Bombyx mori: one gene and its partners. The main gene of each other region encodes a partner of the protein of the gene in region 5 in a complex. Links are inferred from orthologs where the notes say so. Each region holds a gene or a part of one and is shown on either strand. Other genes may lie near its edges. The genes, in order: ubiquitin carboxyl-terminal hydrolase 39, U6 snRNA-associated Sm-like protein LSm6, pre-mRNA-processing factor 6, U4/U6 small nuclear ribonucleoprotein Prp4, U6 snRNA-associated Sm-like protein LSm8, thioredoxin-like protein 4A and U4/U6 small nuclear ribonucleoprotein Prp3.

Region 1 (3,983 bases), on a different chromosome or scaffold from region 5:
ATACTTCTATAATATTAAATGTGTTACAGAATTACGAGAAAAAAATCGCGCGGTGAAATATCGCTGTGCGGACAAGGCCTAAATATTACCAAAAATTGCCAAGTTACTCTATAATTACAATATTGGCAAAATAATAACTTTTTGGCGGAAATTCGAGGAGCGAAGCTTTCAAATATTAATCTATGAGCGTAGCAGTGTCAATTGTTTTATTTAATTTATGTAGTGTCTTTTCAGATTAAAATGCGTAATAATGGTGGTTAATTGACTGTATAATACCTTTGAAAGTGCACAAATGTATGAATATGCAACAAAGCCGTTAAATGTAGCTTCTCGGGATCTTTTTAAAAGTCCATTGAAAAAGTCTCAGAAAATAATTCCCATTTTACTGAGACTATATTTCATCTCATCTCATTACGTTTCATTTCATGCCAATTGATTATTGTTCCAAATTAATCAACTTCATTTCATTTCATATAATCATTTATCATAAGCAAAAAAATATGAAAGATTAGGCTGTATGGTATCATACTTTTGCCTTTCCAGTTCGAAAATAGAACACATACTCCTACTAAAATATTTTTTAATGGATTTTATGACACGGTAACTAAGATCTTTAGGTCAACTCTTAATAAAATTTATATTCTTATTTTTATGAAAAATGATAATATGAAGTGAAATGAGATGAGATGATATGGTATAAAATATAATCTCACTATGATAGTGGTCATTTACTGATACTTTTTAGTGAACTTTTTGGAGGATGGATAAGGTCTCAAGTATAGTTACAATGGCTGTCCCACCCTTCAAACCGAAACGCATTACTGCTTCACGGCACAAATAGGCAGGGTGGTGGTACCTACCCACGCGGATTCACAAGAGGTCCTTCCACCAGTAATTACGCAAATTATAATTTTGCGGGTTTGATTTTTATTACACGATGTTATGCCTTCACCGTGGAAGTCAATCGTTAACATTTGTTATGTATTTCAATAGAAAAATTGGTACCCACCTGAGATTCGAACATCGGTGCATTGCTCAACACGAATGCACCGGACGTCTTATCCTTTAGGCCACGACGACTTCATATTTCATACTATATTATCTCATTTCATTTCATACCACTTCGTATTACCATTTTTCATAAAAATAAGAATATAAATTTAATTAAGACCTGACCTAAAGGTCTTAGTTACCGTATCATAAAATCCCATAAAAAGTTCATTTAACGATTAATATTTACATTTTACATTTAGATTTCAGATTCTTCATTTAACTACATTGTCTAAAGTCTATGATAGTAATAAAATGACTGAAGAACAATCTAGAAAACGCAAAATAACTGATGAAAATGGGACTGACAAACAAGGTACTTGATAATGCAATTCTAACCTTCTATGATTCTGCACTCTACTGCTATTTGTAATCAAAGTATTATTATATTTTCAGGACGATATTCGAAAACTCAACAAATTCAATGTCCTTACCTGGATACTATCAATCGGCATGTTTTAGATTTTGACTTTGAGAAATTGTGCTCGGTTTCATTGACTAGAATCAATGTTTACGCTTGCTTAGTGTGCGGTAAATATTTTCAGGTAACAAAATATTTATGCAATTGTCATGGCTTTGGTGATTAGAGGCTTGAACTTTTTTTTACAGGCAAGTTACTTGTTTTCATGATGACGATTTTTATGAGCGCCAGTGTTGTTCCTGGCATTTCATTCCAGTTCTTTGCTGTAGTGATATGTAAGATAGGTTATTTATGTTGACTTAGGCATAAATTTGAATTAATCACTTGCGAAAAAATCATTAAAATCTATCTACTTTCCAGGGAAGAGGCACCAACACTCATGCCTACACACATTCAGTGGCTGATGGACACCATGTATTTTTGAATCTTAACACATTAAAGTTCTATTGTCTTCCTGACAATTATGAAGTTATTGGTAAATTACATATTTTTAACTTGGTTAGCTAAAATAGCTTTTATGTTAGATATAAATTAATTATAAATAAAATAATAATAAGATATAAATGAATTCGGTCAATTGATGATTTTGTGCATTGAAAATATTTATAAAATATTATGATTAAGAATTGGTGCATTTTACAGTTGTTAACACATGCGATAACTTAAAATAAATTGTTAGACTTTATTTTTGTAAGTAAATTAATAATAAGGAAAATTTGACTGATTTTTAAAATTTTATACACCAAAATGGAATCAAGTAAAATACTTTTAAGCTTAAATTTAGGTATCAATGACTAGAAGTACAGTAAAGCTTTAAAACTTGTAATAGTCTAATGGACAAGACACCCAGTGCATTTGTATTGGGCAGTGCAACTGTGGTGGTGTTTGAATTCTGTTGGCAGGTACCAATTTTTTTAATATGTATTTAACACTTCGTTGGTGAAGGAATGTATCAAATCCATCTTGTGATTATAATAAACTTGCATAAATTATAATTTGTTCTAAGGGTGACTTAAGAGCTTGCATTTGTAAGTACCACCACTCTGCCTATTTCTGCCGTGAAGCAATAATGTGCATTGGTGAAGGGGACAGCTACTGTTGTACTGTAAAACTGAGACTTAGAACTCCTGTTATAGGGATGCGGGTAATCACATAGCATCAGATGAGCCGGGAGCTAATCTACCTATCACAGTCATAAAAAAAGACAATTTCACATTTTAGACTCTTCATTGAATGACATCAAATATGTTTTGAACCCAACATTCACACCTGAACAGATCAAGCTTATAGATACTAACACAAAGATGTCACGAGCCATTGATGGCACAATGTATATGCCTGGCATTGTAGGCCTTAATAATATCAAGGCCAATGATTACTGTAATGTAATTTTGCAGGTCAGTATATGTTTTTATTAAATACATTTTATGATATGTACTGTTTTTATTGTATGATAAATGCGACTTATATTTTTGTTGCCGGCGATCTGTGAAAGTAGATGCGTTACAGTCAAACTGATTCTGTTTTAACCATTATGTATATTTGTAGTGAATAATTACACAGTGCTACAAAGTCTTAATATTGTCACAGTTTTATACTAAATTCATTTTATGATTTTAGTGTTTGTCACAAGTACGTCCCCTACGTAACTACTTTTTGAGAGAAGAGAACTATGCTAGTGTAAAAAGACCACCAGGGGACTCGTCTTTTTTACTTGTACAAAGATTTGGTGAATTATTACGCAAACTATGGAACCCCCGTGCTTTTAAAGCACATGTATCTCCTCACGAGATGTTGCAGGCTGTTGTGCTGTGGTCTAAGAAGCGATATCAGTTTATTAAGCAGAGTAAGATTTTAGTAGTTTTTTGGATATACGAACATGCTTTCTTAGTGTAATTTCTGTATATTATGCTAAAAAGTATGAATATTGATTGATCAGTTTTATATTTTAATTATATATTGTTTTATAATAATAATAAAAATTTATAAATAAATAAATTTTTGCTCAGGTGATCCAATAGACTTTCTGTCTTGGTTTCTAAATTCATTACACATGGCACTGAATGGTACAAAGAAGCCAAATAGCTCCATAATTTATAAGTCATTTCTGGGTCACATGAGGATCTATACAAGGTAAGATTTAAGCATCTGATTTTTTAAAGTTCAAAATAATTAACATTTAATCTATCATTATATGCAGTCAAAAATTTCTGAACAGACTGAAATTTTCAGAAAGTTGCCACCGCCGGATGCTGATGATGCAGCTAAAGTCGATCTTAGCAGTGAAGAGTACAATGAAATGATCACTGAGTCTCCATTTTTGTACCTCACATGTGATTTGCCTCCAACGCCATTGTTCACTGATGAGTTCCGCGAAAATATTATTCCACAGGTGAAAATACCTAGTATTGTTGCAATTTAAAAATTGTATTCACTAACTTTTTTATTTTTTTATTAAGACTGGTTTTTTTATATCAATTCACATCCACTTAAATAGGATTTAAAACAAAAA
Region 2 (4,280 bases), on a different chromosome or scaffold from region 5:
GTGAAGACATTAAGGAAGACAAAGATAATGGTAAAAATGAGGAGTCTACGCCGGCTAAAGCTACCGGCAAGGGCACTAGGAAAAGCACTAGATCAACGAGATACAAACCTAAAACACCTGCTCCACCGCCATTGAAGCAGCCGGCGCCGCGGGGCAGAGGACGCAGGAGTCTATTCAAAAGGCAGCCATTGAAAGCACCAACAGCTACAGCGACTGTTGTTACAAGTGATTCAGTATTTTATCAGGTCTGTTCAATTATTTAATCCAATTAAAATCTGTAGTTAGATATACAACAGCTGTAGAAATATACCTTTTTTTTTATTTTTCAATAATCTTGAGGCTATATCGCATACTAATTATAGTTTAAAAACTGATTAGAGATTAATTTAATTTAAAAAACCCTAACTTATTATTCACAGTAAACATGAAAACTTGAAAAATTACCTCGGTTCTGCTTTGAATAGTCTGTGGTAATTTTTTCAGGGTATGTACATGCAAGTTGGTGATATTGTTTCGATGACTGACATTGATGGTGGCACATACTATGCCCAAATTAGAGGCTTCCTAACTGATGAGTACTGTGAGAAGAGTGCAGCTGTTACTTGGTTATTACCTACAAAAGCGAGCCCACCTCCAGAGAAATGTTTTGATCCTGCTACATATATCATTGGTATGAGCTTTTAATAATATTTTAATTAGAAATACAGATATTTGCAACAGGCAGAAGTAGGTGATTAAAGTATTTATTCAATATCTAAGGCATTTTGGGTGATTTTTTTCATTTTGTAAATTTAGTGCTTTAGATTTTCCACTTGTAATAATAGTGACTCATTAAATGTGTATTCGATCAAAGCTCGTGAATAGCAGAAAACGAAATAAGTCGCTTGACACGGCATTTCTAAAAAGCCTGCATTGTTTGATTTCACTTCCTCTCGTCTTGTTTCAATCTATATCATGTAATTTCATCCCAATATAATGAATATAATGAAATAAACCAACTTAATTAAATTCAGCTTAATTTTTTATTTTTATTTTGTAAATATGATTTTTACTAACTCAATACTGGCAACAATAGCATCACGAAAACTCAACTGCCATATAGCAAAAAAAAGAATAGTGTATATAAAAAATGTGACAGTTAAGGTTAATATTGCTGTAAATTTTCAGGCCCTGAAGAAGAGCTGCCTCGGAAACTGGAATACATGGAATTTGTGATGCATGCTCCATCTGATTACTACAAAGCGAGCAACAGTCCATACCCACTGACTGATAATGAACTGAATAATTATACTGGTTTTGTATGGACTTCGATGGAAGCTAAAGAGAGAACGTAGACTTTTATATTTAAGCAAAGTGAACATTTTGTTACAAAAAAATACTGTTTATGTTTAGTTTTATTACCCCATATACCCCGTAGTTAACATTTATTTAAATTTAGAGCACAATTTGAATTTCGATATCATTCACAGTTATAATTTTTTTTTTTTTTTTCCCTACCTAAGCTGATAGCCCTAGCGGCTGTCAGCGTAACCCTAACTTTAGTAGGTGAGCTCACGGGGCTCAAACCTGACGATGTTGCTAACACGAACCCTAGCAAGAGCCGTGCTTCGCAGAATCTACCACCGGATCGGAAACGCGACCCACTGAGAAGATCCGGCGAGAAACTCAGTGGGCTGTGTCTGAGAGTTAATTTACTCGTCGAGCCCTTCGTCGCAAGCGACGGGTTCGACGAGAACGGTGACCGGTGCTTTAAGTACCTAAAAGCACCGTTAGTGGATCAGGAGGATCCGAGATGACGTGTTTTGGGCGACGTCGACTGCTTTCCATTCTGTCCGCAGGATCGGGAATGTAGTTACCAGCGGCCACGATGAGAGGGTTCTCGTGTCGTGCCGCTTTATCGAAGTGGACAGTTATCAATCATTCAATAACACACATCATTCACTTTAATCATTCAAACCAACCAACATTTTTTTTCCTCCAGAAAATTTGGTATAAGTATTCATAGTAGTAAGTAGTAACTATGCTGTTTCCCTAGATCACTGATATTTTTTTGCCTATCTTTCAATGCCCTTGAAGAAGTGGAGCGTATGGAAGCCCAATTATTTTCAGTTAACCTCTTGGGTATTGCATTTTTACCCTACCAAGAAGTTGTTCAAACTTTGGAAAAAGGATAATAGTAAGTCTGTTGGCGCAACAACTTGTGTGTATGGTGGATGCAAAAACTTCCATCCATACCTCTTGTAGCTTAAAGACGGTCGATTGTACCATATGAGGTTGAGCGTTGTCATATAGGAGAAGTGTGGACAAGCGATTAAGAAGGGCAGGCTGGAGATACAAAAGCTTCTTCATCATTGTATCCTGTTCCTCACCATACACATCTGTAGTAATGATGCTATTTGGTAGGAAGCTGTGATGAATTATACCAGAACAAAGCCACTAAACAGTGAACATGACATATTTAGAGATAGATTTTCATTTGAGGCATTGCCTTTGTACTGAACCTCTAGTCCATGTAATGTCCGAGTGCAATAATTATTCTAGCGCCCTCTAGTAAGCGTGCAATCAAGTTGGACTAGGAACAAATCTAACTGCACCAGGAGGACGGGACGGCGCGTCGGCGGCTGCGGACTGCGATGCGGTCCGCATTTTCGTCGTCGCTGTCGTCGCCGAACATACTGTTGAAGAGCAACCCGGTCGGCGGTGTATCGCGTTCCGACCCGGCAGGCTGGTTCTGGCCCAGCGGGGTATCCCGGAACACCAGCGGCACCACCCGGGCGGCCTGGTAGGGCCGCCGTACCGCGGAGACCGACGTCGTTGGTCGTCGACTATCGCCTCGACGACCCGTCGGTCGGGCGTCCTCGGGGTGGCGCCGCGTGTCTGGTTGTAGTGTTGACCGCGGGAACCCCCCTACACTGAACGGGTTCTGACCCCGGACGGAGATCGGACGTCGGGTGTAAGAGTGCAGGGGAGTCGTTTGGTGGGTGGGCCCTAAAATCCTTGGGCCCGCGATCTGCTCTCAACACCTGCAGATCGCTGAGTCTCACATACCCCGCGCGCCCCCTAGGCGCGGGGACCTCGTAGGAGGTTCGGCCCCCGGCCCGAAAAAAAAAAAAAAAAAAAGGAACAAATCTAACTGATTCATTAAGAATGCAGAGGCCGGTGCACCCTAAAACCGCAGCGCGCATCTGCAACTCACACACACCTCGCACCATAGGTAAAGTCGCCTCTAGTTCTGAATCAGGGTGTGTTTGCAACCCGCTTGATGACCGCTTATGATTATAAACAATAATCCATTTTTCATCGCAAATGACCAGCTTGATGTGACCGCTTATGATTATAAACAACATAATTCATCGTAGATGACAATATGCTTCAAGATACCCTAATGGGGTGACGATCGTTCAGTTCGTGTGGGGGTGCCACATATCAAGTTTTGCCCACCAACTTGACCCAAATGAACTAATATTCTTCTGATCCTAACGTTGAAAGCTGCAAAATGTTTTAAATCAAAACTTCTGTGCTGAACCGTACAGGCCAATCGTGCGTTCTTTTGTAGTGTTCTTTCCGTACATACACATTATTTCTTAAATACCAAACATAATATGAGCCGTTTTGCGGCATTGCCACGGCGACGGAACTCTCCATATTCACTCTTTTCTATCGTGTACATATTGATGTAAGATACATTATATTACAAATGTAGTGAAAACAAAACACTAATCAACAAACAAATAACTGGATTTGAAAATAGAATGTCAAACTTCTCGGCATCCTCCAAAAAGTCCACTGAAAAAGTCTCAGTAAATGACCACCATTTTACTGAGATTATTTTTCATCTCATAACATCTCATTTCAATTCATTACATTTCATTTCATGCCATGTTTCATAGTAATCAACTTCATTTCATTTCATAATATTAATACAATTTTTCATTTTAAAAAATTCATTAAAATTAAAATAAGACGACCTAAAGGTATTAGATACCAAGTCATAAAAACCTTTAAAAAAAGATCAAAAGTAATCAAAACACCCGCTTTGACCAATTTGAAAATTTTTAAGTTTCATTTAATGTATTTCGTGTCTTCAATTTCATCAGAATAATAAATAAACACAAAAAATGAGTCGTAAGGAAGCTTTGTCCTCGTTTATACAGCAGATTCACGGTCGCCCAGTTGTCGTTAAATTAAACAGCGGCGTTGACTATAGAGGTTTGTTTTCCTTTCAAATTTTATTTATTAAGTTAGTAATAACAATCACTTCGTCTTTTAAGAACCACATA
Region 3 (3,500 bases), on a different chromosome or scaffold from region 5:
CTTCTCAGTGGGTCGCGTTTCCGATCCGGTGGTAGATTCTGCGAAGCACGGCTCTTGCTAGGGTTCGTGTTAGCAACGTCATCAGGTTTGAGCCCCGTGAGCTCACCTACTAGCCACGGTTACGCTGAAATAGCCTCTAAAGACTATCAGCTTAGGTAGGAAAAAAAAAAAAGCAATCGATGCCAACTCAGTGACAGACCTCAGTAAACCTTTATTGTTGAAAAAATTTGTAAGGCTTTCGTTTCGTCGTAGTTTCGTTGGAAATAATCAAAGTTAATTCAAACTGTGCTAAAAAATAATAATATAAGTATGGATGAAGGTACAAATAATTACTTTTTTTTTATATACCACATTTAAAATGTGAATACAATTTCATTTTAGAATTCGAATCTGTAAACAAATTAATTTTACAGGTATATACTTTTGTAAACATTGCAATGATCATCATGAACTTAGCGCACTCTGCTGATGCATTTGAAAACTAATTCACGTTCCAATTAAGCTTCAGCATAATTCGGCATTGTGTGCCACTGAGTCGCATTGTGCTCTGTAATTGGAAAACTACTACTGTATGCGCGCGAGTTCATGTCCATCGGGGCCAGAGGCGATGCGCGGGGGACAGCTCGCCCCACCTTCGCCCGCCTCCCCGCGTTTGTCTGACGTCGAGTGTTGTTCTGACGGTTGTGACGCGAGCTTATCGATGTCATAATTTAAACTAACGCTATTATGTCATTTAACCATAACTACTCCGCTTCCAACAAGTTCAGATAGAAAAAAACCTACTGAAAAAAGATACATACTGACTCCGACTCTGATCTGTCGGTTGTCTTTTCATTTGATAGTGATTAAATTGAAATTTAAAGAATATTTTTCTCTATTAGAAATAAACAAGTAATTAGTTATCACATTTATTTTATTTCATAAATTGCAAAATTACCTTAAGTTACATTTAACCAAATTGACAGCTGTTGACTAAATCGGTAGTTATTATCGACATTACCATAATTAACTAGGTCACAGCACTACCGCATTCCTCAGGATGCACATGAACTCGCGCGCCTACAGTAATGTGTTTAATAAGTGTTATTGTTTGTGTAGTGCGCCACTGAGGGTGCGTTCGAGTGCGCCCGCGCCGTGTACGGGTACGCGCTGTCCGTGTTCCCGTCCAAGAAGTCCATCTGGCTTCGCGCCGCCTACCTGGAGAAGCAGCACGGGACTCGCGCCAGCCTCGAGACGCTGCTGCAGCGGGCCGTCGCGCACTGCCCCAAGTCGGAGGTGCTGTGGCTCATGGGCGCCAAGTCCAAGTGGCTCGCAGGTCAGGGACGATTTATCGATCCGTTCGTTCCGTTCCAGTAACACGTTAGAAGTCGACGTGGCTTAAAGTCGACGTCCGGTGCATTCGTATGTAGCGATGCACCGGTGTTCAAATCCCGCTGGCGGGTACCAATTTTTCAATGAAAGACGTACTTCAGAAATCTTCACGATTGACTTGCACGGTGAAGAAATAATATCGTGTAATTACTGATGGTAGGACCTCTTGTAAGTCCGCACGGGTAGGTACCACCACCCTGCCTATTTCTGCCGTGAAGCAGTAACGCGTTTCGGTTTGCAGGGTGGGGCAGCCGTTGTAACTAACTATACTGAGACCTTAGAAATCAAATCTCAAGGTTGGTGGTGGCGTTTCCGTTGTAGATGTCTAAGGGCTCCAGTAACCACACTTAACACCAGGTGGGCTGTGAGCTCGTCCACCGACCTAAGCAATAAAAACGTAAAGACGAATGTTGCCCATCTCTCTGCCCGTCGGCTCTGTAAGGGCAGTTTGATACGTTTATAGATTTTGAGAGCACTCACACAAAATGAAGTGCTGTAGATGACACGACTTTCGAATTATTTTTCAGTTCAATTTGATTTATTTATTGCTGGCGTGCGGTCCCCTACGATGGTTGTTACCGTCGTAGTAAATTTTCTCAAAATTCGAATATGACAATAAGTACATATAGTCTACTATACATAATATATAGATATTAAAGACCCAAATATAGAGCATACAAACTTGTTTATAACGCGAGAGCTGACCCAATGCTGAAATCGTCACCAACACCCTCAGCAGTTCGGGTCGCTAACCACAGCACCACCGATTGGGTCTATTTGAATAAACCAATCATTAATGTTTCGTTTAGGCGACGTACCGGCGGCTCGGGGTATCCTGTCGCTGGCCTTCCAGGCCAATCCCAACTCTGAAGAGATCTGGTTGGCCGCCGTCAAACTGGAGAGCGAGAACAAAGAGTACGACAGAGCGAGACGGCTGCTGGCTAAAGCTAGGGCTTCAGCTCCCACACCGAGAGTAAGTTTTTTTTTCCTACCTATGCTGATAGCCTTGAGAGGCTATCTCAGCTTTATCCTAGCGTGTAGGTGAGCTCTCGGGGCTCAAACCGGAGGTGTTGCTAACACTGGCCCTAGCAAGAGCAGTGCTTCCCAGAATCTGCCACTGAGAGGATCCGGCGAGAAACTCAGTGGGCTGGTGTAAGTTAAATCAACATTAATATTGTAAGATTCGTCTGTTCGTACTCTGCAATTATGAGACCCACTCTAGGGAGGTCATAGGTCCCCCTCCCCCCGACCGACTAGTGGCGTTTAGCTCTTATTTCACAAGAGTTATAGCTTAATGTCTTTTGACGTCAATTTTTTCGGTGTAAGAACCGATTTTAATGCTTTATTTTGTTTGTTACATTTGATGAATGACGGAAACATTTCTGAAGATGTTTATTTAAAAACATTTACTTAAAGGGGTTCTTGTGAGGCTACACGAGGAATTACCGCCTCCCTGTCTATTTCTGCCGTTAAACAGTAACGCGTTTCGGTTTGAAGAATGAGGCAATGGATGTACTATAAAAACTGATATAGAATAAGCTCGTCTACACGTCGAAGCAATAAATAAAAAAACGATTTCTATTTATTTACTTTTTTAGGTGATGATCAAATCAGCGAAACTAGAATGGGCATTGAACAATCTGGACGTAGCCATAAAGTTACTGGACGAAGCGATCAAAGTGTTCGGGGACTACGCAAAGCTTCACATGATGAAGGGACAGATTGAGGAACAAATGGCCAAGGACGAAGACGCTCACAACACATATAGTCAAGGGGTGCGTATATAATCTTTAATATCTATAATCTAAATAATCTTTTTTTGTTATGATTGAACTTGTATTAGCACCAATAATGCGATGTTTTAATTGGACTTCTAACTTTACTGGTGGTAGAACATCTTGTGAGTCCGCACGGCGTTAATGCATTTCGGTTTGAAGGGTGGGGCAGCCGTTGTAACTATATTAGACCTTAGAACTTATATCTGAAGGTGGGTGGCGCATATACGTTGTAGATGTAGATGGGCTCCAGTAACCACTTAACATCAAGTGAACTGTGAGCTCGTCCACCCATCTAAGCAATAAAAAATAAATAAATAAAAATAAGTTCACTCCATTCAAATAACTGAAGAA
Region 4 (3,500 bases), on a different chromosome or scaffold from region 5:
AATTTGTTTATCTCGATTTGCTAATGGAGTTTCTGGACTGTAATGGTATAATGGGGGTGTCATGGGTAATCTGAAGCAACTGACTGGTTTTCTGGGGCAGCTGGGTTAGTGCTCAGGAGGTCTCTGCTGATCGCAAGCAAAAAAGACGCAATTTCCTGATGTTGAATTGTGAATAAATTCCTATTCACCATATCATGGTGATCAGCATTTGGTAATAAAGTGTAATACTAAAACAAATTGATAAATATAAAAATGAATTAATTGTTGAATTTTAAAGATTTAACAAAGCTTTTCTAGTCTTCATTTGGCTTTATATTTTTTTATTGCTTAGATGGGTGGACGAGCTCACAGCCCACCTGGTGTTAAGTGTTTACTGGAGCCCATAGACATCCACAACGTAAATGTCGCCACCCACCTTGAGATATAAGTTCTAAGGTCTCAGTATAGTTACAACGGCTGCCCCGCCCTTCAAACCGAAACGCTTTACTGCTTCACGACAGAAATAGGCAGGGCGGTGGTACCTACCCGCGCGGACTCACAAGAGGTCCTACCACCAGTAATTACGCAAATTATAATTTTGCGGGTTTTATTTTTATTACACGAATTTAATTATTTCATTTTTATTTTCAGTCTCGGCGAAGATGCTATCAATAAGAAGCTAGAAGAGGAAGAAGCACGCCTGGAAAGAGACAGAGGTAGAGAAGGTACCTGGTACCACGAAGGTCCCCCGACCTTGAGGCAAGCGAGGATTTGGATAGCCAGGTACTCCCTGCCTAACGCCAAAAAAAGGTCAGTTTCAATTAATTCGACTCTACCCGACTGTGATATCTTGGCTGTGTCATCATTTTCATTACTTCCGGAACCTCCTTGCTGTCCCCTCTAAGGTTAGGTAACGAAGGGTAAAAGGCTGTTTGGTTCAGGCGACATTTTTGCAATATTACAGGAGATCTATTTAAAGTTTTAAAAATTTGCCAAAATAATATTTTAACAAAACAAACTTCTTCAGCTATTCGAATGGAGTAAACTTAATCTATATATTAATACGTGAAGCAAAAACTTTGTATCCCTTTTTACGAAAAATTTGGGGATGGAGGAGCATGAAATTTCTCACACTTATAGAGAATTTAGAGAAGGAGTGCACAATGCTAATATTTTTTTTAAATACTGCATAAAAGAAAACATTACATACCCTACATACCATGTATTTGACGCACACACGCATGCATACTATTTATTGTCAAACTTTTGTTCTTGACGTCTGTTGTCAAATTGAGATTAAATATTGTTTGTCTTTATTAATATTTTTTATAGTGTAGTCTTGGCGAAATTTGTGATTATAGAAGTATAAAATACAATCATAATAGTATACAAACTTATAAATTCAATTAATTATAGTCGAATTTCGACTACTGGGTGACCGCTAGTTCAATTAAAAATATCGAAATGTTGATGCTGATTCGAAATATAAAACGGACCTTTGATTACAAAGATAAATGTCTCTTAAACTAAAGAGCCTTACACCACTCGATATATATAGAAATATTGTGGATTCATTCTGGTGTCTTAAATTATGATGGGGGGTGCGCAGGGCCGGATTTAAACTTAATGCCGCGCTCCTGGTTATCGGAAAAAAAATCCGCCCTAATACTGGAATTTTACTTAAACTTATAGTTAATATATTTTATTTAAAAAAATTAAAATATCTAATTTATTGCAGAAACTTTATCATATTTTATGTCATATATTCCAAAAATGTAAATAAATATTTTTGTTTTTTTTTCTAACAATCTTAAATTTTGCACTAAAGGGTGACTAATAATAATAATATAATTAGAAATCACGACTCAAAATATTAAAAAAATATAATTAGAACGATACAAAATACAATTTTCAACAATTATTGATTTTAAATACTAATGACAAAATGTGGGTAACTAAGTTGACACGCGAATGTACAACGTCCGTCTATCCCTGGTGCTGAGATCAGAAAGAGGCCGTGAACGAGGCAATATGTTAGTGGTGTCCTCAACTCCCCTCTTCAACTCCGACCAGTCTGAAGTCGCTGCTGTATTACGTCAGCAGGCCACGCCCACTTCCGTCTTCTTTCCTTAGAATATATTACATAAAAAAAAAACTAATTAAATTTCTTTAATTACAGAAAATAGAAGATCGATTATTATTAAAAAATCTCAAGGAAATAAATTGATTAAATCAATTTTGATTATTAATTTTTACCAAAAGTGCCAAAGTTATAATTCTATTCATGAGTGAATTGAATTTCTTGAATTATCAATAAAAAAGAAAATTATTAATTAATTATATTGAGCAATCTCGACAAGAAAAAAAAATTTTTTTCACTTTCAAAAATTACCACCCTGGGCACTTTCCCCGATCGCCCCTAGTGTAAATCCACCACCACTGGGGGGCGCGACATGTCTATGGACTCGTGTAAGTTACTCGATTATTGTTACAGGCTAAACAAAGCCCGCGAGGAACTCAAGTTGGCTGGCAGTGTGCGCGCCGCCGCTAAGCAGGAGTCGCAACGGAAGGCGTCTGCCTTTAGCATTTACTGCAGCCAGGTGAGGCCCAGGTCGTGGGGGATAGAGGGTACCTAAGTTCCTGCTACACCCCCCCCCACTGTCTCCCTCCCAAGTGAACGCACTTCGTTGGACGGTCGTCGCTGTGGACCCTCAGAAGTTGCAGTGGTGGGGGCCAGTGGGGTGGGTAATATAGAACTAGGATCAAAATGGCCGACTATGACCCTGTGATGTTACGTATCCTAGTAAATTAGCGAAACGCATTACTGCTTCACGGCAGAAATAGGCAAGGTGGTGGTACCTACCCGCGCGGACTCACAAGAGGTCCTACCGCCATTCCTTAGGAACCATGGTGCTGCAACGGATATCCTGCAAAAACGGAACGTCTTAGTTTTTACCGGCTAGGCCCACGTGATGTCGCAGTCACAAGGTTCTCGTGTCAGGGCTGTCTCGTTCCAAACCTGAGCACGTGGCCACCTCGTGGCGGCCCTAAGCGTGCGGGGCAGCTCAGCACATAAATCTGTGGTGCTCTTCATCAGATCGGGGACACGAGGCCGCTGAGCTTCTGCAGGTTCAGCCAGGACAGCAAGATGCTGATCACTTCGAGCTGGTGAGGGTCTTTGCCGATATTTTTCTTCTTTTTTTTTACCTAAGCTGATAGATAGCCTTGAGAGGCTATTTCAGCGTAACTTTAATCAAATCAAATCTACCGCCAATTCATAAAAAGTAGTCCCCGTCTTGAGAAGAACTGGCAAGAAACTCAGCGGGCATGCATTTTTTTTTTTTTTTTAAACTAGTAGGTGAGCTCACGGAGCTCAAACCTGACGACGTTGCTAACACGAACCCCAGCAAGAGCCGTGCTTCGCAGAATCTACCACCGGATCGGAAACGCATCAATGCAAACGCAAAATGTATTAATTGTTAACTAATTCTTCTTCTTTGTCTCCATCTTATCCCCCTAGG
Region 5 (2,101 bases):
AAAACTAAAAATTTAATTTAAGCATCATTTATTCAATTTATCAATGTAATACATAGTAATACATAACGGTAATAATAGTAATATCTGTAATATACAGTTGAGGAAAAAAAATCACCCCCACAGAGAATATAAGTAATTGATAATTTCTTGTTATTTTATAATTCACACGATGCCTACAATAAAATACCTGGGTCAATCACGTGAACTTTGTGTTTCCAAATAATGTGTTCTATCTCATTCTCTCGCCGGCTGAATCCTATATATTTATGTGTTTGTGTCTCTATGGACTTATTTTTCGTTTCGTTTAATTTCGTTTCATCGAATTTGAAATCACAACGATTCTAAAGAAGCTTCACTTCAATATATACTTTTTACTCACAAAAGTTTCATTTTTACGCCCCAAAATTTCATTTTAGGTAATTTACCCCGGTTCCCTGGCTGCTGGTGTATCATAATAATTTGTGAATATATGATCCGTCAGATCTTTTCTACCCAATTTACACGCTTTATATTAACTTCACTTGTATGTATGTTTGCAACTGACTCCTTTAGACGCGATTTTGACCCACTTTAAACGGCCAGAATTCATTCAAACTTTGTAGATTTATCGAGGACCGATAAAAAAATACTAATTTGATAAGATTATTCCATTATTCAATTTATAAAATAAGATTTTGGTCAATTTATATAATTTTTATCTATACTCGATAAGGCAGGAATTGATGTTAATGTACTTAATAGTTTTAAAAATACGCTTTTAAAGAAAATTTAAAATACATAATAGTTTAAAAAACTAAAAAAGACACTTTATATAAAATTCAACTAAAAAATTAAAATAAATTTTAATAAATTTAAATTGAAAATAGTGTAAAATATATTTTATTTAAAAAAAAGAGTGGGGTGCTTTTTAAGATATTATTGAAATAATAATTCTTCTACTCATATCTGTCAGAAAAATATTTATAACTAATAACACCATGCACCCCATGCTTTTTTTACAATAAAATATATTTTACACTATATTCAATTTAAATTTATTAAAATTTATTTTCTATTTTTTTAGTTGAATTTTAGATAAAGCGTGTTTTTTATTTTTTTAAACTATTATTTATTATGTAGTAATCATGTAGGTAGTAATAGTAATTGTAGTAGCTATTATACTAATCTGTGTAGGTACACATTTCAAATAATAATCTGTGGCAGCTCCCTGAAATTTGAAAATTTCTTATAGTTGTTTGATGTTGATTATTACTAATTTGAATTTATAAATAAAATAATTAGAATGGCTTCTGGACTCGAAAATTACGTGAATCAAACAGTGTCGGTAATAACTTCGGATGGACGTAATTTTATTGGCACCCTTAAGGGCTTTGACCAAACAATAAATATTATTTTAGACGAATCTCACGAAAGAGTGTTTTCCTCCACAAGTGGCGTCGCTCAAGTAGTACTTGGACTTCACATAATCAGAGGAGACAATGTGGCAATAGTCGGGCAAATAGACGAGTCAATTGATAGCAGATTAGACCTCGGAAACATCAAGGCAGAACCACTTGGACCAATGGTACATTAGAACTAGTTAATAAATGTTTTGTTATCAATCGGTGTTTCATTTGGGCAAATAAATATCATATTTTGTATTCGTCTCTTGTCTTGATTTACTAATTCGCAAAGCAGAATACATATTTTCACCCATAAAAATTAATCTTAGCCCTGGCTTGGGTTTTCCATTCTCTGAATAGGATTTGTGATAGCATGCCCTGTAATACCTGTTAGAATAGACAACACCCTGGATATATGTTCATTTCTTTGAACATAATCCTTAGGAAGTTACTTATGATGCCTATTGTAAACTACCAAATTAAGGGTTATATGTTTTACTCTTTCACAAAATACACATGAAGGTTCAAATACATTAAATCCCTGTATAATATATTCACAGGAATCAAAAATATTCATAGGTACTAAAAGAACCTTATTTCTCATTTGCTAATGGGTCTCATCACAATCAGCTCAGTTAGCCTGTTACCAACACAATTTTTTTAATGTGTTTGTGCTCTAGTAACTGGCATATAAATAACCGTTTTAGAATAAGCATAAT
Region 6 (4,070 bases), on a different chromosome or scaffold from region 5:
ATATTTTACTGTATTCAACTGACACAAATTTATATTTATATCCAGTAAACTCCAGTCGTGCGTCGGAGCGGACACACACACTTTTTTTTTCTACCTACGCTGAGAGCCTTGAGAGGCTATTTCAGCGTAACCCTAACTTTTGTAGTTGAGCTCGCGGGGCTCAAACCTGATGACGTTGCTAACACGAACCCTAGCAAGACCCGTGCTTCGCAGAATCTACCACCGGATCGGAAACGCGACCCACTGAGAAGATCCGGCGAGAAACTCAGTGGGCTGTGTCTGAGAGTTAATTTACTCGTCGAGCCCTTCGTCGCAAGCGACGGGTTCGACGAGAACGGTGACCGGTACTTGAAGTACCTAGAAGCACCGTTAGTGGATCGGGAGGATCCGAGATGACGTGTTTTGGGCGACGTCGACTGCTTTCCATTCTGTCCGCAGGATCGGGAATGTAGTTACCGGCGGCCACGATGAGAGGGTTCTCGTGTCGTGCCGCTTTATCGAAGTGGCGCATCGACGCCGACTGTAGATACTTACTGATGGACTCTAAGTCCAGGTCGTCATGGAGGTCGACGTTCCTGACGAACCACGGGGCTCCGACGGCTATCCTGCAAAAACGGGATTGAATAATGTGGAACGATTTTAAGTGAGTGCGGGCCGCGTGAGCGAACACTACACTTGCATAGGTCATGACGGGGCGTATGCAAATTTTGTAGAGTGTCACCTTATTTCTAAGGGACATTTTACTTCGCCTACATATCATCGGGTAGAGACGTCCTAGAATGAAGGCGGCACGGTCGCGTACCGTCTTGATGTGAGGGCGGAATGTCATCCTACTGTCGAGGGTGACGCCTAAATATTTGACCTTCGGGGCCCACGGTATGGGCTGGTCGAACATCGTGATTGGGCGAATGGCGGGGGCGGAGGTGTTGACGCGCCTAGTCGGGAGGGGGATGCTCAGCGTGGTGTTCGGAGGGCGACCCCTTTTGAAGAGCACCGCTGTGCTTTTCGTGGGGTTGATGTCGATTCTAGTGACGACTGCCGGCGCAGCGGCTGCGCAGTGTCTGCGCCAGCCGAACCTACGTCTCGGGGGGAGGTGGGAACTATTGTTGTCACCTCAGCGGTACAATCGATAAAATAACTGCTTTGAACATAAATACTTTTGTTTTAAGGTTTTTTTTATTTTCTTTTTTTATTTTGCAGACGATTTCAGTTGTAACATTACGTTACAACACCCGCACGCTAAGCGGAACCCTAAAGTGTCGAACAACGCCGTGCGACCGACGCCGCGACGCCTCGCAGGATTCGTAAAAATACGGAGGGTCGATAAAGAAAAATTGAATAACGCGCACGCGCCGCGCCGGTCGCTGCACAAAATTATTAATTTTATTTAATTTAAATCCTATAACCTATATCCTATACCTATATAATTTAATTTAAATACCTTGTTGTACCTATAAGAGTTGTAACGATAAAATATATGATTAACATTAAAGCCTCAAATAAATAAACTTCACCTCATTTCATCCATATCATTATTAACTTCATATTAAATTGATATAAATAACAGAATAATTCCATGAAAGATTACGCTGTATGGACTGATACCTCCGCCTTTCTTGTTGGAAAATGGAACTGCTACTGTCATACGTCATACTGTGGTCTGTGATTTTTTTTAAGGTATTTTATGACCTGGTAAAAGTCAGTGTTTGTAAATTTACTCATAGAATAGTCATATCTTAATACCTACATATTATTAAATAATTATAAATTTAAAGTTCTCTATTTCACAGAACATTCTTTTTGTTATGAAGTAACAAAAAAGACAACGCCTGCTCTAAACTTTTTGAACACACTTCTATAGAAAACGTGAACAGTGACGAGAAACAAAATGTGAGAATAAAATAACTTTGGAATGTCTTAGATGTGAAAGGCAAATTTCAGTGAGCAAAATAATATCAATATTTGTTCAGTGGTCCTACAACACGATTATATTTTGCTCATAGCAATAGCAATTTCCAGAAAAAAGAATACAGGAATAATCGTTTGTTTGAAATAATACGTAAAGTAGTTTATTTGCAAAATGAGTTATATGCTAGGACATCTACACAATGGTTGGCAAGTAGATCAGGCCATTCTATCAGAAGAAGACCGTGTAGTGGTGAGTTTTAACTAGATTCATAGAATGTAGAAATCTGAGATTTAGTATCTGAAGACTAAAAATAATAATTATATTCTAACCTTACATCAATAGGTATTTGTTAAAGTATATAAATGCAGTAGAAACCAAGACCTTCAACCTTCTAGTATAAAAAACAATAGATTTTGAATTAAAGGAACTAACAAAATGCTTTGAGCCAAAACAGTTAATAGTTATTTAATTAGTGGCCTAATTGTCTTGCCCTATGATTCAACTATATTAAATGTAATTAATTCTAATTTACATATCTAGGTTATAAGGTTTGGACACGACTGGGACCCAACATGTATGAAAATGGATGAAGTATTATACAGCATTGCGGAAAAAGTAAAAAATTTTGCTGTCATATATTTAGTTGACATTACAGAAGTTCCAGATTTTAATAAAATGTAAGTATACCGTAAAACTACTTGTTCTAAATTTATTTCTGAAATTAAGATTTTGATAGGTTTTCTTAAAACCTTTGTGGAATACACAAGTCCTCCTACCTCCAGTGTTTTAAGGAAATTATGTTGTATTATTAAATTTGTTGTTTTATTAATTATTAAAAAAGTATCATAAGTGAAGAAGCAAAGAACTATGAGTTTTCTAGGAATTCTTAATAAGTCTGGTTCATACAGTAAATGAATTTCATTATCTACATTGTTAATAATTTTTTTCAAATTGTTGATTTTAAGACTAGAGTAGAACAGCAGTTCTTGATCACTGGAATGTTGCAAGTCAAGTGTGTTGTGAAAATTAGAAATACGATATTTCAATTTTTATTTAAGGTGATCTGGGAAATTGCATCTCAGGGATACATGTTGGTTAAATATACAATTGTTTATTAAATATTAACCATACAACAGTATTACATATGAGTGATGTAAATACCAACAACCATCACTCCCAACTATAAATCTTTGCATTTAAGGGTGTCATGTATATATAGAGTATGTTAATACATCATTAAGTAAAAAAGGTTGAAAGTTCTAGTCTAGTAGAAAGGGTCTAGTATATAAAATGACTAAGCAAGGCCTATAATAATATTATTTAAACTTATTTCTAGGTATGAATTATACGATCCATGCACAGTGATGTTCTTCTTCCGCAACAAACACATAATGATTGACTTGGGGACTGGCAACAACAATAAAATCAACTGGCCTCTCGAAGACAAGCAGGAGATGATTGATATTATTGAAACTGTGTACAGAGGGGCAAGAAAAGGACGAGGTCTTGTTGTCTCACCGAAAGATTACTCTACCAAATACAGATATTAGTTTAATTTAAAATAATGTTCCACCTGAATGGTCTAGTAATTTGTAATCATATCTGACATCATAGTCATCATAAATTTAGTAATGTAACTTTTTTTATATAAAAATAAGAACTATACATATTACATTATAACTCATGTGTTTTTGGAATTATGCTGTTCTTCCTGATATTAAACAAAGTAAAAGTAGAATAAATGACAAGTTTTATGCTGATGTAGATCCTTTTTTTTGTGTTGCAATATCTTCATCATTGAAAAAAAAAAAAACCATTATCAAAAATACTTTATTTTTATTTTTTATTGCTTAGATGTGTGGACGAGCTCACAGCCCACCTGGTGTTAAGTGGTTACTGGAGGTCATAGACATCTACGACGTAAATGCGCCACACACCTTGAGATATAGTTCTAAGGTCTCAGTATAGTCACAACGCCTGCCCCACCCTTCAAACCGAAACGCATTACTGCTTCACGGCAGAAATAGGCGGGGCGGTAGTACCTACCCGTGCGGACTCACAAGAGGTCCTACCACCAGTAAAATACCAGTAAAAGACCGATAAACGGTCGTGCCAAGGCCAAGAGGGACGAGAAGCCCTAAACACGTCATTTCGGATCCTC
Region 7 (3,500 bases), on a different chromosome or scaffold from region 5:
AATTCTAGGGAGGAGCTTAGATAACACGTTCACACTGGTATATCGTTATCAAAGTTTTGTAATTGAATTTGAAAAATTAATTACCTAAAGGTGGGTAGTACCTATCTAACAACTAAACAGTGCCAGCCCTATCGAAAAACTCTATTGTCTCCATAGGTGACCCGATTCACCACAAAAGCCAAAGTGAATCAGGTGAAGCTGGTTTTTAAAGTTTTGTATAGATTTTTCAATGAACTATATATAATAATGCGGCGTATATGAAAATTTAAGTATCCGGAACCATTTTAATCTCAATTTTATTGGTATTACCTTGAGAGAAACCGCTGAAAATTTGTGTTGGAATAGGAAAGCGGCCCGATTCCCCCCAATCTACTGAATATATTTTGATACTTTTCCAAAAACACTGCGCAATTCTACTCTGAGCGAACTCCACATTAATATACATAGACGAGTGGGTACTGCGCTTTGTGTGTTTGTTTGTGTATGCGATTATTTATTTTATTTATTTTATTTATTTATAACTTTATATACTAGACAGTATAAAGGCGGACTTAATGCCATTCTTGAGATGAACCTTGGTGAGTGTGGTGTGATAGTGATATTACTTAAACATATGTGTATATATAACATACATCATATTTATAGATACAAACACCCGTACTTAAATAAATACATATACATAAATATATATTTACATATAAAAATGTATATAAATAAATATTATCAATTTACGACTTTTGAATAAAATAAAACCAAAATCAAATCAAGCGCCGAGCTTTTCATTAAGTTCGCGCGCACGTTCTGCTACTTGGCTTCGATCGCGAGCGGTACGAGCGCGTACAATATGCGGCGGCTACAGTGACAGCTGTCACTTTTGACACGTCGTCTTCTCGCATTAAAACTGTATAATCTCAAAACTTACTAATTTTACAGGAGAGTGTTTTAAAGGTTCAACATGTGGTATTTTTAATATTAATAATCATCTTCATCATCATCATGCTTTCCTATTACCCTCTGCTGGGGTGTAGGGCTCGAATCAAATTTTTCCATTTGTATCGGTCTTGGGCAGTCTGTTCTAGCTCCTCCCACGTCATGCCCAAGACCCCTAGCTCCTGCTCCACCGAGCGACGCCAAGTTGTTCTGGGGCGGCCTCTCTTCCTTTTACCAGACACTTTCCAGGTCAGTGCTCTCTTTGATAGGTGTGTATCGGGCTTTCTCAGAGTGTGACCAATCCAATGCCACTTCCGCGTAAGGATCTCCTTCTCCACTGGTGTCTGCCTAGTGATCCTCCACAGCTCTTTGTTAGTGATCTTCTCAGGCCAAAAGATTTTCAAAATCTGACGCAGGCACTTATTCACAAACACTTGAAGTTTTTTGATCAAGTCCTTGCGAACAAACCAAGTTTCGCTCCCGTACAGCAATACAGACTTTACATTTGAGTTGAAGATCCTCACCTTTGTTCGTCTTGTTAAGGTTGAGGAACTCCACACTGGCCTAAGTTGACTAAACGCGGCTCTGGCTTTATTTATACGAGCCGCAATGTCTGCCTCGGTGCCTCCCCTATCGTCCACAATGCTGCCCAGGTAACAGAAGCTTCCCACCTGCTCGATGTGCCTCCCTTTGATCGACATAGGAGCCGAATCGGTGGTATTTATGCGCATTTCTTTTGTTTTTGAGAAATTAATACGCAGCCCTACTTTCATCATAATAATCATCTTAGCAACATTTATTTTTTATTTTTTACCAGTTACATTATCTGTCTTTTAAAGTAAGATAAAATGATGTACTAATTTTGTTAATAGTCAAAACATAGATAAAATAATAATAAAAAAATTCATAAAACTAAACTACGCTCTTTTGACAGTATTTATGAGAAAAATACTGGTGATACCAAATGATTTCGCATATTAACTCAATTTCGAATAGTTTTCAAAATTGTACACTTTTAATGCGAAAAGAAGACTCGTCACTTTTGACACCTGTCAATTTTGACACTTGTCATTTTTGAGATCTGGCCCTATTGGTACCGTCGTCCCGGGGGCAGGTGGGACAGCGTGATCCTGATGACGGCGGACGAGCGGGAGACGAAGCGGCGCGGGGCCGGCGCTGATGGGCGCACGGACGAGCAGCGCGTGGACGCCTGCAACACGGGCGAGGACGACATAGTGGACAACATCAACGAGGAGGCCATCACCAACCTCGTGGAGCACCCGCAGCAGCTCAGGCCGCCCAGTCAGTCGATATTTTTTTTTGTTTTTAGATGCCTAAAGGGGGACGAGAACACAGCCCGCCTGATGATAAGTGGTTACCGCTGCCCATGGACTTCAGCAATGCCACAAGCCTCGTTTGAAGAAGGACATGTTATAGCGCTCGGGAAGCAACGTGGAGTGGTTACCGGAGCCCATAGACATCTATAATGTAAATGCGCCACCTTGAGAAATGAGGTCTCAGTATAGTTACAACGGCTGCCCCGCCCTTCAAACCGAAACGCATTACTGCTTCATGGCAGAAATAGGCAGGTGGTACCTACCCGCGCGGACTCACAAGGACGGCTTCGACGAGGACGGTGACCGGTGCTTGAGGTACCTAAAAGCACCGTTAGTGGATCGGGAGGGTAGTCAACAGAAGACTTTTTCCTCGCAGCGGAACCTCTCAAGCCGACGTTCATGCCGGTCTTCCTGACGAAGAAGGAGAGGAAGAAACTGCGACGCCAGAGCAGACGGGAGGCTTGGAAGGAGGAGCAGGAGAAGGTCAGACTCGGACTGGAAGCGCCACCAGAACCAAAGCTCAGGTGCGTGACACTTCGTAGAACCATTAACAGAGGTAGGGTCTGCAGTAGAGATGAAACGGATATCCGTAACTATACGGTATCCGGCCTATCCGGCCATGTTTTCACTGTCCGGCCTAATACCGGATAGTAAATCAGTATCCGGCCGAATTTCGGATATTCGGATATTCGGTCGTATTAAGCGGTAGGCAGCGGCTTGGCTCTGCCCCTGGCATTGCTGAAGTCCATGGGCGACGGTAACCACTCACCATCAGGTGGGCCGTAAGCTCGTCTGCCTACAAGGGCAATAAAAAAAAATGTAAAATTTAAGAAAATCTCATGGTTATACAAAAGGCAAATAATACCACAATAGGTTATGGACAACTTTTATTTTTATAATCGCACGTCAAAAGTGATTGTGATTAATTAGTTTGTTTAATACTCAAAACTGACAAGTGGCAAATTGTGGTGAACGAATGCCAAATCGTCGTCGTGATCTCCGTTATGTGCGACAACACCCGAACGCGCACGAATATTTCCGAAAGGGCCGAATATCCGGCCTCGCAGTTTGCCGAATATTCGGTACCCGGTATCCGGCTAAACCACTATCCGTTTCATCTCTAGTCTGCAGGAAAAAAAGGCTCTGAAAGCATCGTAAGATGAAATGTTTCAGGATCTCGAATCTGATGCGAGCTTTAGGCACCGAAGCGGTGCAGGACCCCACGGCGATCGA

What was found.
Region 1: U6 snRNA-associated Sm-like protein LSm8 (region 5) and ubiquitin carboxyl-terminal hydrolase 39 share a complex: the UniProt entries of both Homo sapiens proteins name them as parts of the U4/U6-U5 tri-snRNP complex. The link is inferred for Bombyx mori from reciprocal best matches to the Homo sapiens genes LSM8 and USP39.
Region 2: U6 snRNA-associated Sm-like protein LSm8 (region 5) and U6 snRNA-associated Sm-like protein LSm6 share a complex: the UniProt entries of both Homo sapiens proteins name them as parts of the precatalytic spliceosome. The link is inferred for Bombyx mori from reciprocal best matches to the Homo sapiens genes LSM8 and LSM6.
Region 3: U6 snRNA-associated Sm-like protein LSm8 (region 5) and pre-mRNA-processing factor 6 share a complex: the UniProt entries of both Homo sapiens proteins name them as parts of the U4/U6-U5 tri-snRNP complex. The link is inferred for Bombyx mori from reciprocal best matches to the Homo sapiens genes LSM8 and PRPF6.
Region 4: U6 snRNA-associated Sm-like protein LSm8 (region 5) and U4/U6 small nuclear ribonucleoprotein Prp4 share a complex: the UniProt entries of both Homo sapiens proteins name them as parts of the precatalytic spliceosome. The link is inferred for Bombyx mori from reciprocal best matches to the Homo sapiens genes LSM8 and PRPF4.
Region 6: U6 snRNA-associated Sm-like protein LSm8 (region 5) and thioredoxin-like protein 4A share a complex: the UniProt entries of both Homo sapiens proteins name them as parts of the precatalytic spliceosome. The link is inferred for Bombyx mori from reciprocal best matches to the Homo sapiens genes LSM8 and TXNL4A.
Region 7: U6 snRNA-associated Sm-like protein LSm8 (region 5) and U4/U6 small nuclear ribonucleoprotein Prp3 share a complex: the UniProt entries of both Homo sapiens proteins name them as parts of the precatalytic spliceosome. The link is inferred for Bombyx mori from reciprocal best matches to the Homo sapiens genes LSM8 and PRPF3.

Annotation. Positions count from the first base shown.
Region 1 is NC_085121.1:4,081,303-4,085,285, forward strand, and holds the start of ubiquitin carboxyl-terminal hydrolase 39, read left to right. Parts: upstream 1-1,183; 5' UTR 1,184-1,305; coding exon 1,306-1,366; intron 1,367-1,446; coding exon 1,447-1,595; intron 1,596-1,831; coding exon 1,832-1,946; intron 1,947-2,692; coding exon 2,693-2,868; intron 2,869-3,091; coding exon 3,092-3,317; intron 3,318-3,480; coding exon 3,481-3,604; intron 3,605-3,703; coding exon 3,704-3,863; intron 3,864-3,983.
Region 2 is NC_085134.1:2,613,326-2,617,605, forward strand, and holds the start of U6 snRNA-associated Sm-like protein LSm6, read left to right. Parts: upstream 1-1,480; 5' UTR 1,481-4,118; coding exon 4,119-4,209; intron 4,210-4,280. Other genes in the region: GATA zinc finger domain-containing protein 1, read left to right, coding at 1-245, 484-670, 1,168-1,334. UniProt on the Homo sapiens protein: Plays a role in pre-mRNA splicing as component of the U4/U6-U5 tri-snRNP complex that is involved in spliceosome assembly, and as component of the precatalytic spliceosome (spliceosome B complex).
Region 3 is NC_085109.1:9,946,673-9,950,172, forward strand, and holds part of pre-mRNA-processing factor 6, read left to right. Parts: intron 1-1,098; coding exon 1,099-1,315; intron 1,316-2,180; coding exon 2,181-2,344; intron 2,345-2,969; coding exon 2,970-3,146; intron 3,147-3,500. UniProt on the Homo sapiens protein: Involved in pre-mRNA splicing as component of the U4/U6-U5 tri-snRNP complex, one of the building blocks of the spliceosome.
Region 4 is NC_085130.1:18,540,135-18,543,634, reverse strand, and holds part of U4/U6 small nuclear ribonucleoprotein Prp4, read left to right. Parts: intron 1-630; coding exon 631-789; intron 790-1,844; exon of another isoform or gene 1,845-2,473; coding exon 2,474-2,579; exon of another isoform or gene 2,580-3,076; coding exon 3,077-3,147; exon of another isoform or gene 3,148-3,500. UniProt on the Homo sapiens protein: Plays a role in pre-mRNA splicing as component of the U4/U6-U5 tri-snRNP complex that is involved in spliceosome assembly, and as component of the precatalytic spliceosome (spliceosome B complex).
Region 5 is NC_085112.1:10,370,994-10,373,094, forward strand, and holds U6 snRNA-associated Sm-like protein LSm8, read left to right. Parts: upstream 1-1,173; 5' UTR 1,174-1,282; coding exon 1,283-1,573; 3' UTR 1,574-1,601; downstream 1,602-2,101. UniProt on the Homo sapiens protein: Plays a role in pre-mRNA splicing as component of the U4/U6-U5 tri-snRNP complex that is involved in spliceosome assembly, and as component of the precatalytic spliceosome (spliceosome B complex).
Region 6 is NC_085120.1:13,294,256-13,298,325, reverse strand, and holds thioredoxin-like protein 4A, read left to right. Parts: upstream 1-1,270; 5' UTR 1,271-2,080; coding exon 2,081-2,158; intron 2,159-2,449; coding exon 2,450-2,586; intron 2,587-3,245; coding exon 3,246-3,459; 3' UTR 3,460-3,669; downstream 3,670-4,070. UniProt on the Homo sapiens protein: Plays a role in pre-mRNA splicing as component of the U5 snRNP and U4/U6-U5 tri-snRNP complexes that are involved in spliceosome assembly, and as component of the precatalytic spliceosome (spliceosome B complex).
Region 7 is NC_085130.1:18,559,803-18,563,302, forward strand, and holds part of U4/U6 small nuclear ribonucleoprotein Prp3, read left to right. Parts: intron 1-2,044; coding exon 2,045-2,232; intron 2,233-2,643; coding exon 2,644-2,791; intron 2,792-3,440; coding exon 3,441-3,500. UniProt on the Homo sapiens protein: Plays a role in pre-mRNA splicing as component of the U4/U6-U5 tri-snRNP complex that is involved in spliceosome assembly, and as component of the precatalytic spliceosome (spliceosome B complex).